Linked DNA regions of Daphnia pulex. The protein of the gene in region 1 purifies or fractionates together with the protein of each later gene. This does not show direct contact. Links are inferred from orthologs where the notes say so. Each region holds a gene or a part of one and is shown on either strand. Other genes may lie near its edges. The genes, in order: something about silencing protein 10-like and U3 small nucleolar ribonucleoprotein protein IMP3-like.

Region 1 (4,142 bases):
ATGTGTTTGTTTACCTACTAACCTAAAGTCGATCGTTTATTACATTCATTTTTACTTTTGATATCTTGCGGAGCTAAATTATGACTTCGTGGAACAACACCTTCGTTTTTAGTTTGTTTAGTTATTCCTGAGAAATTCTAAATAGCAGAGGAATATAGTCAGAAAATGTCTGCCTTTATTTCACATTTAAAATGTGACAAGAATGATAAACATTTTGCTGCTTTTATGATTCAGATAAAAGCATTCATTGCTGACTAATTTATAAAAAAAAACGAGGTTTTTAAGATATCAGCCTATCAGGTTTAAAAGATTTGTCATAAGCAAAATGTAAACAGCAAAGTGTTAACATTCATATGAAAGATTACTACTACCGAAAGATTACTATCAGACAACTTGATAAAAAAAAACTGCGCAAGGGCAACTGAAATGGAAAATGAAATGTTAGAAAATTTCAACCGTTTGTTACCTCGAAGAACGTATTCATTCTTACCCAATTACTTGGAAGGAAATGAAAAAAATAAATCATTCAAGCTACTTACACTTAAACAGTATATTTGTAAAGACATATTGAAAGGTTTACTTAAGTTTAACACTTCGAATGACGGTCGCCTTAATGCCAGAGATCTCACCGCCGTATTTCTTGAGTTCTTTGCGAGGCTCGCGAATCGCGCCCTTCCTGCGGATATTTGCCTTTCGGAACTTCATACGGTGTTTGACACGAGGATTGCGCTGTTCTTTCGACCGATGCGGTGTCAAGCCCTTGTTTTTAGCAATTTGATAGTTGATGCCACGTTTGCCAATGTCCTCTTCTCCTTGCTCTGAAGCATTTATGGCTGAATCAGCTCCAGCAGTCAAATCAAGGTTTGGATCTTCGTCACCATCTTCACTTTCATCTTCAGAATCTTTCTTTGATTTACTGACCGCTTTGTAGAAATCTAATGCTTGCTCTTCGTCTCGAGTCAAGGGTACGTTGATTTTCTTTTTCGTGACAGCATTCTTTTCCTCTGGCTTGCTTGTCTCGACTACAGCCGACTGAGGACGACTTGATAAAATGCGCAGTTTCTTTCTTGGAGGAATGACGGTGCGTACAAAGTCTTCACGAGTCATCTTTTCATCCTCTTTAATTTTCGTTAACAAACTGTCGATCTCCGGCTGTAGACTTGCACCTGCATTTTCAAGCTGATGTAGCAAACTTCGGAACTGAACCAGACGTTTAACGACAGGGTGATTCTGCACGGATATTCTTTTAGACTTCAGCACAAAATAATAGCCAATCTGTGTGCAGTAGCTGAAAAATATAAACAGACGAAAAATGTAATAAAATTTCAAGAAGAGGAGTTGTACGTAAAATACTTGAGGATGAGCTGGTATTTCGATGTGACGTAATCCACTCCTGGACTTGCAGGTAGCACTCCTTCCGTCACTAATTTTAAAATGGGTTCTAGATTGTTTTTAAGCTCTGCCATTTGACCTGAAAGATAAGATAGGTGTTTTTAATACTAAACATCGATAATTTAATTCAGCGATTAGAAGTTACACTTGAAATCTTCAACGAGTTCAATCAGTTCTGGAGACTCTTCCGTCAATAGTTTAAGTTTTTCTCGTTTGGATAAATGAGAAAGATTAACGTCAATTTTCTCTTCCTGTACAGATGTTTGTCCTTTGATTTTGTCAGCTTCCTGTAATACAAAGAAGATTAAATAAGATGCTCCAACTTTAGTTTCATTAATTTGTCACTTTTAAGTGAGTGATGAAATCTAAACCAAAATCTGCTTCTTCCAACTGTTGGGCCATTCTTTGCTGAATTGCAAGTGCTTCTTGTTCTTCTAGTTCTGCTACCTCAGCATCCGACTCATTTGCATCTAGAATATTTTAATGGTTATTACTGTAGCAGATAACAGAAGATGCATTTTTTAATCGAAATATACCATCCCATTCTTCATCAACGTAGTCAGCATTGTAGTATGCTGATCTTTTTTTTCCCCATTCCAGATTTTCTTCTTCATCATCTCCTTCCTTCTCATCTTCCAGTTCATTATCAAGGGGAGGTAATGGTTCTGCATCTAAACGGGCCTTCTTCAGCTTTTTCTTTTTTGACATCTTCAATGTTTCTTCTTCGTCAGATGATGAAGCTACTCCCAATACATCTTCCTGAAATATAGGAAAATTTACAACCAATAAAAAACTAGATATTAACAGAGTAATTTCACACATGTTAATACCTGTATGTATCTTTTGGGCCTTTTCATCAACTTGGCCAATTTCTCTGCACCTTCGCGTTCCTCGTTTTCGTAGTATTCGTCAACAGCATCATATATGAATTCCGATGCATTTGGGTCGACGGCATCCTGATATTCTTCGTCGTCCGATACAGCATCCACTTTCGTTTTACGACTGGATGTACCTTTAGGCTTGCCCATCTTAACTTAATTGTTATTCAACTTTGTAGGTTCCAACTATCCCACACGTGGTTCTAAATCTAACTGAATACTGAACAGCTCGTCTGACAGGTGTTCGTCTGCAATATCTTTGAATGCATTGCTGCCAAATTTCCATTGCAACTAGAAATTATTTTTTGACGGTATTTTTTGATTTTTTTTCTCATGGTTTTTTAAAGGAAAAGCATTTTTGGAATTCCAAGAATTTCTTTTCTTAAAACTAAGTCTTGTTTTGTTGAAAAGGATATACCTGAACCCAAAATGAAATTTATTAACTCAAAAAAGGTCTGTGTTTTCATAACAAATGAACTTGAAAAGTGAAACAGGATATTTCAAACTTGGAGTAGGTGACCGTATTATGGAGTAGGTACTACTAATTATAAATTAGGAAATTCTTCCGGGGAGAAGCGAAATGTTCGGTCTGGTTCAGAAATATGGCTCCAACCTTGGAAATAATATTAAGATAACGTTCTTTGATACTTATGATAATGACATATTAACTCACCCAAAAGTCCTCTGCCTCTTCCGATTGCAGGAGTACTTCCAGCACTACCGTTACGTGAAGATCTAGCAGGCGAAGGAAGTCCTTTTGATTCTTCAACATGCTCTTTTGGCACCTGAAAGTTTGCTGCAATTCGACTTAGGCGTCTTACTGGATTCTCTACAAATTGTGTAAACAAATTGAATAAGAAAATCTAATTTTAGTGTAAACGAGAAGATAAAAATTTACCAGTTGGTTTTCGAGGTGGTACTGGAATAATCGTTTCCTTTTGTACTTGCTGGATTTTCTCTCCTTTAGCCACAAATACTCTTTCCTTTTCTCTAAAGTAGAAATTAAATATTTAGCAAATAATAAAATAGTTCAACATGATTTGATTTATGTAAGTATACTCCCTCTCCCGCAAGCGTTCTCGTTCGTTTTCGCGGTATTCCTTACGCTTGGCTTTGGATAACCCTTGAGGAACACTAAAGAGGAATAGTTGTACATAAAAATCTATGGGCAGCAATATTAATACAATTACGTCATGTAGTTGGCCTTAGCACTCATTATTTCAGACGAGAAGCTAGGAGCAGTCAATGTTGCATCATCCCAGCTCTCTGATAACTCAGTAGATGGTAGGATTTCATTATACTTCAGTTTTGGTTGAAAAAACTTTGTTTGTTTGTCCCCTAAACAGGTGGTAATACAAATTAATAAACCAAATTACTGAATGAAACATAATATATGGACTTAGACTTACCCTCCCACGTTTTCTTATTAGCCTCTTTAGCTAACTTGTGCTCACAAGATTCTAGGTGATCATTCAATTCACTCCTTCTAACATAGTGCAGGTGCCAATATTGGCATTGAACAAAATCATGGTTTTTTGGAAGATTCTGCAAATTAAGTTGCATCACAGACGTAAAGGTATTTAATGATAACAGTAAACTAGTAAAAGTACTTACTCTAATACACTTGACCAAATGATGTTGTAATTTCCTGTTTTAAAATATCACAATTTTGAACTACTTGTTAAAAAAAACACAAAAATGATATCACTCACCGTCTTTCAACCACGTGCACAGGGTCAAAAGGGCACCCAACACGTTCAGTAAGGTTTTTCAAGTGAATCATTTCCAATCCTATTTCCAATTGTTATTATTATTATTTGTCTAGAACTAAAACTAAGAAAATAACTAACTAAATCCAACGTTTTCCTTTCC
Region 2 (3,363 bases), on another chromosome or scaffold:
GACTTAAAACAACTTAAGCCCAGTTGGCCAGTTCGTTGGAAGAAGGTCATGTCATCGACTCGTCGATACATTTCATGGTCGTCCTCTTGATCTTACTACAGTATCGAAATCATCGTCGTCAGTTACTCGAGTGTTATCGACTCGGTTAGAAGTGCTCATTTGATGATGGAGACTAAGAACTCGATCTTGAATGCGTTACTCCAACAGGCCATTTTTAATAGTCAAGGTGTTGGTGCCAACGTTCCCGTGAACTTAAGCATGTCGTTAAACGACGAAAGAAGTGAAGTTACCAGCTCGTCATCGTCGGCCGACGATGAATCGCCCGCTGATTTGTCTAGTCGCAGTCATCACCAACGTGAAGATTCGCCGATTCCGCCATCGTATCAACATCATCCTGACTCATCACAGCTAATGCATGCTATGGCGGCTGCTTTCTCCTTCCAGCGGGATCTGATGGCGCAACAAAACAAGTCTGACCATCTTAATCAATCAGATGCAACAAGTCCGGCCTCACCTGCTGATCCTTCTCACCTGGTTGCCAAAGCCTTGGCCTCGGCCACCACGAGAAGGCCGAGGAGTGAGAAGAAACCTATTCCCGATGATTTGAAGGATGGCAAATATTTTGAACGCCGACGTCGGAATAATCTTGCAGTAAGTGATCTATAAAAATTTCCAAATTACAGAATTTTAAAATTATCTTTTTCTGAAGGCTAAGAGATCTCGAGACATGCGGAAAAACCGTGAGGATCAAGTTACAGTTCGCGCCAATTTCCTTGAGGTAGGATTTAATATCTAGTAAACAATTTCACTGGTTATTCATACTTCAATTTGAGTGTTTTTTATTTTGTAATTTGACAGAAGGAGAATTCGGTCTTGAGAGCTCAAGTGGCCACTTTGAGAGACGAAGCATTCGCCTTGAAGCAAATGTTATTGCACAAGAACGCTTCCGCCATTCTCCGTAGTCAAGCTGCCACCAGTTGAGCTTACGTTGTGGGGAGAACAAACAAGAACTTTGTCCACGTTATTGTTTTTACCTTTATATTTACCAATGCTAATCCCTCCTGTTTAACTGATTTCTCTTTCGGTTTCAATCCATCACGTCTTTTATTTATCATTTCTTTTTTAGACGTGCTCGTCTGCTATCAACCGACTAAGCTTCACAGTGCCAAAAATAAACGAAATAGAAATCAGTTTTTCTCTTGTCGACAATCTTTCAATCATGACCATCCGTCCTTGATTTTTTTTTAAATATTACACAGTTACCCACATGTTGAATACATTAAACAAAGTCCTTGGTGAAGACATCTTTTATCAAGAAACTCGAGTCAAAACTCAGAATCAGTCCTAAATGGAAACGTCGCATGTTTTAACAATGTTTTTTATGTTGGAAAAAACAGGAATTTACGTGGAAGCATATGACGCATATTTTTAGTTTTAATACAAGCTAGCTGTTGGCGATGCACTTTGAAATAATAAATATTTAAAAATAAGAACGAAGGGCTCGAATATTAGATTGTAGCATGCTGCCACCTAGTACTTTGTTTAACTATTAAAGAGAATTCAGCAGCCACACACGTGTGAGATTTCCGTCGTCTGCAAGTTGTCTTTTTTTGTCTGCTGTTTGTAGTTTGTATCAAACTTTTCGTGCGTTTCGCGAGGGGATTGCAAGGTTTAGCAGCTTTATTCTTCAATAATTAATTTCGAAATCAGCAACACATCTCTGTTCCAGGTAGAGTACAACGTCATAGAAATAAACTCATCGATTTTTTATTATAAGAATTAACTCATAGGATTTCTGTGCAACGTCTGAAAAACTAACAAAACAGAATGGTCCGAAAACTAAAGTATCATGAACAGAAATTGTTGAAAAAAGTAGATTTCATCTCCTGGAAGCTTGACAACAATGTTCATGAAGTGCAAATTCTTAAAAGATACAGAATTCAAAAAAGAGATGATTACACAAAGTAAGTGGATTTTAAATGACAGATTTCTTAAGAAATCATTTTGACGATGTATCTTAATTGCAGGTACTGCACACTTGTAATGCATGTAAAAAAGTTGGCAAACAAGATAAAGGAGCTCGACCCCAAAGACCCTTTCAGAGTGGAGTGCAGCGCTGCTCTTTTGGAAAAACTGTACAATTTTGTTTTCATATAATTTCTGAAGGTTACTTGACTGTTATCTTAAATTTAGATATTCCATGGGTTTAATTCCAACCAAGTGGTCCCTTGATCTTGTTTCCAAAATAACAGCATCCTGCTTCTGTCGAAGAAGACTTCCTGTGGTCATGGTTAGGGCAAAGATGGCAGATTCCATCAAAACTGCAACTACATTTGTGGAACAAGGACATGTCAGAGTTGGTCCTGAAGTGGTAAAAGACCCAGCATTTCTTGTTACCAGGTACTTATTAAAACTTTTCAATTATTGATTGCATATAAATGACTCAGTTACTTTTTTTATGAATTAGAAATATGGAGGATTTTGTGACCTGGGTAGACTCCTCAGCTATTAAGAAACATATTATGGAATACAACGAGATGGTAATAATGATCATTATTGCAATTTTTTAAAGAAATTAATCAATTTCATTCCTTCTATTTCAGAGAGATGATTTCAATATGGCTTGACTTGTTTGACGAAATGCAACTTGTATGGAAATACATCCCGTTTTCTATCTACTAAATATCGCTCATTTCCTGTCATTTTTAGAATAAAATTAATTCATTGAGTTAGATAAGTATACATTCTAGTTCAAACTTCTCCTCTGAGGTTAATGGGGTTTCCGTAGTGCTTCAAAGGGGGGGAAAACCACGGTTAATCTTAAAGGCTCAAACATTCATCGACACGGTAGGTTATTACTAACCCTTAACCGGAAAATTTATACAGTTTTCCATTCACTTTTGATTGAATCACAAGTGTCAAGGAAACATGGCTGCCAATATGTCCTTCATTTTTGTTTGCTTAATATTCATTCATCTAGTTTATTCAGGATTACCTTTTAGATCCAAAAAATTCAACAGGCAATCGAAAAGTACATTGCGGAATTACCAAACTGAATTCTTTAACGAGGTAATGCTCATGCATTTATTACGTTTATATGAAATTGTAATACGTTTCACTAAATTGTCAAGGTTTTCCAAGACCATTGGGACCGTAAAATGAGAACTCTTGATCCAAAAGCAAATAAGAGTTTGTGTATTTTATTATTCTCCCAATTTTATAATGGAGTGATATAAAATGTGTTTTACTGTAAAATTCAGCTGCTACTTGTGACGCCAAAGCAATTGCTGCCGAAAACAGGAATGCAAAATGCAAACCGCGTCTTTATGTTGTCGCCTTAGAAAAATTTGAAGGTTTCAAGGT

What was found.
Region 2: the proteins of something about silencing protein 10-like (region 1) and U3 small nucleolar ribonucleoprotein protein IMP3-like purify together in Homo sapiens (affinity purification with mass spectrometry; 3 studies listed by BioGRID and IntAct, with this or other methods). This does not show direct contact. The link is inferred for Daphnia pulex from reciprocal best matches to the Homo sapiens genes UTP3 and IMP3.

Annotation. Positions count from the first base shown.
Region 1 is NC_060024.1:11,303,249-11,307,390, reverse strand, and holds something about silencing protein 10-like, read right to left. Parts: upstream 2,515-4,142; 5' UTR 2,421-2,514; coding exon 2,223-2,420; intron 2,152-2,222; coding exon 1,929-2,151; intron 1,863-1,928; coding exon 1,738-1,862; intron 1,680-1,737; coding exon 1,538-1,679; intron 1,472-1,537; coding exon 1,354-1,471; intron 1,289-1,353; coding exon 577-1,288; 3' UTR 536-576; downstream 1-535. Other genes in the region: protein D7-like, read right to left, coding at 2,816-2,883, 2,944-3,099, 3,169-3,260, 3,330-3,404, 3,461-3,608, 3,680-3,815, 3,885-3,918, 3,983-4,053. UniProt on the Homo sapiens protein: Essential for gene silencing: has a role in the structure of silenced chromatin. Plays a role in the developing brain. Part of the small subunit (SSU) processome, first precursor of the small eukaryotic ribosomal subunit.
Region 2 is NC_060021.1:8,086,322-8,089,684, forward strand, and holds U3 small nucleolar ribonucleoprotein protein IMP3-like, read left to right. Parts: upstream 1-1,568; 5' UTR 1,569-1,729; intron 1,730-1,790; 5' UTR 1,791-1,827; coding exon 1,828-1,964; intron 1,965-2,027; coding exon 2,028-2,135; intron 2,136-2,193; coding exon 2,194-2,400; intron 2,401-2,467; coding exon 2,468-2,540; intron 2,541-2,603; coding exon 2,604-2,627; 3' UTR 2,628-2,683; downstream 2,684-3,363. Other genes in the region: transcription factor VBP-like, read left to right, coding at 163-651, 710-778, 859-981; uncharacterized protein LOC124194159, read left to right, coding at 2,929-3,069, 3,132-3,195, 3,261-3,361. UniProt on the Homo sapiens protein: Component of the 60-80S U3 small nucleolar ribonucleoprotein (U3 snoRNP). Required for the early cleavages during pre-18S ribosomal RNA processing. Part of the small subunit (SSU) processome, first precursor of the small eukaryotic ribosomal subunit.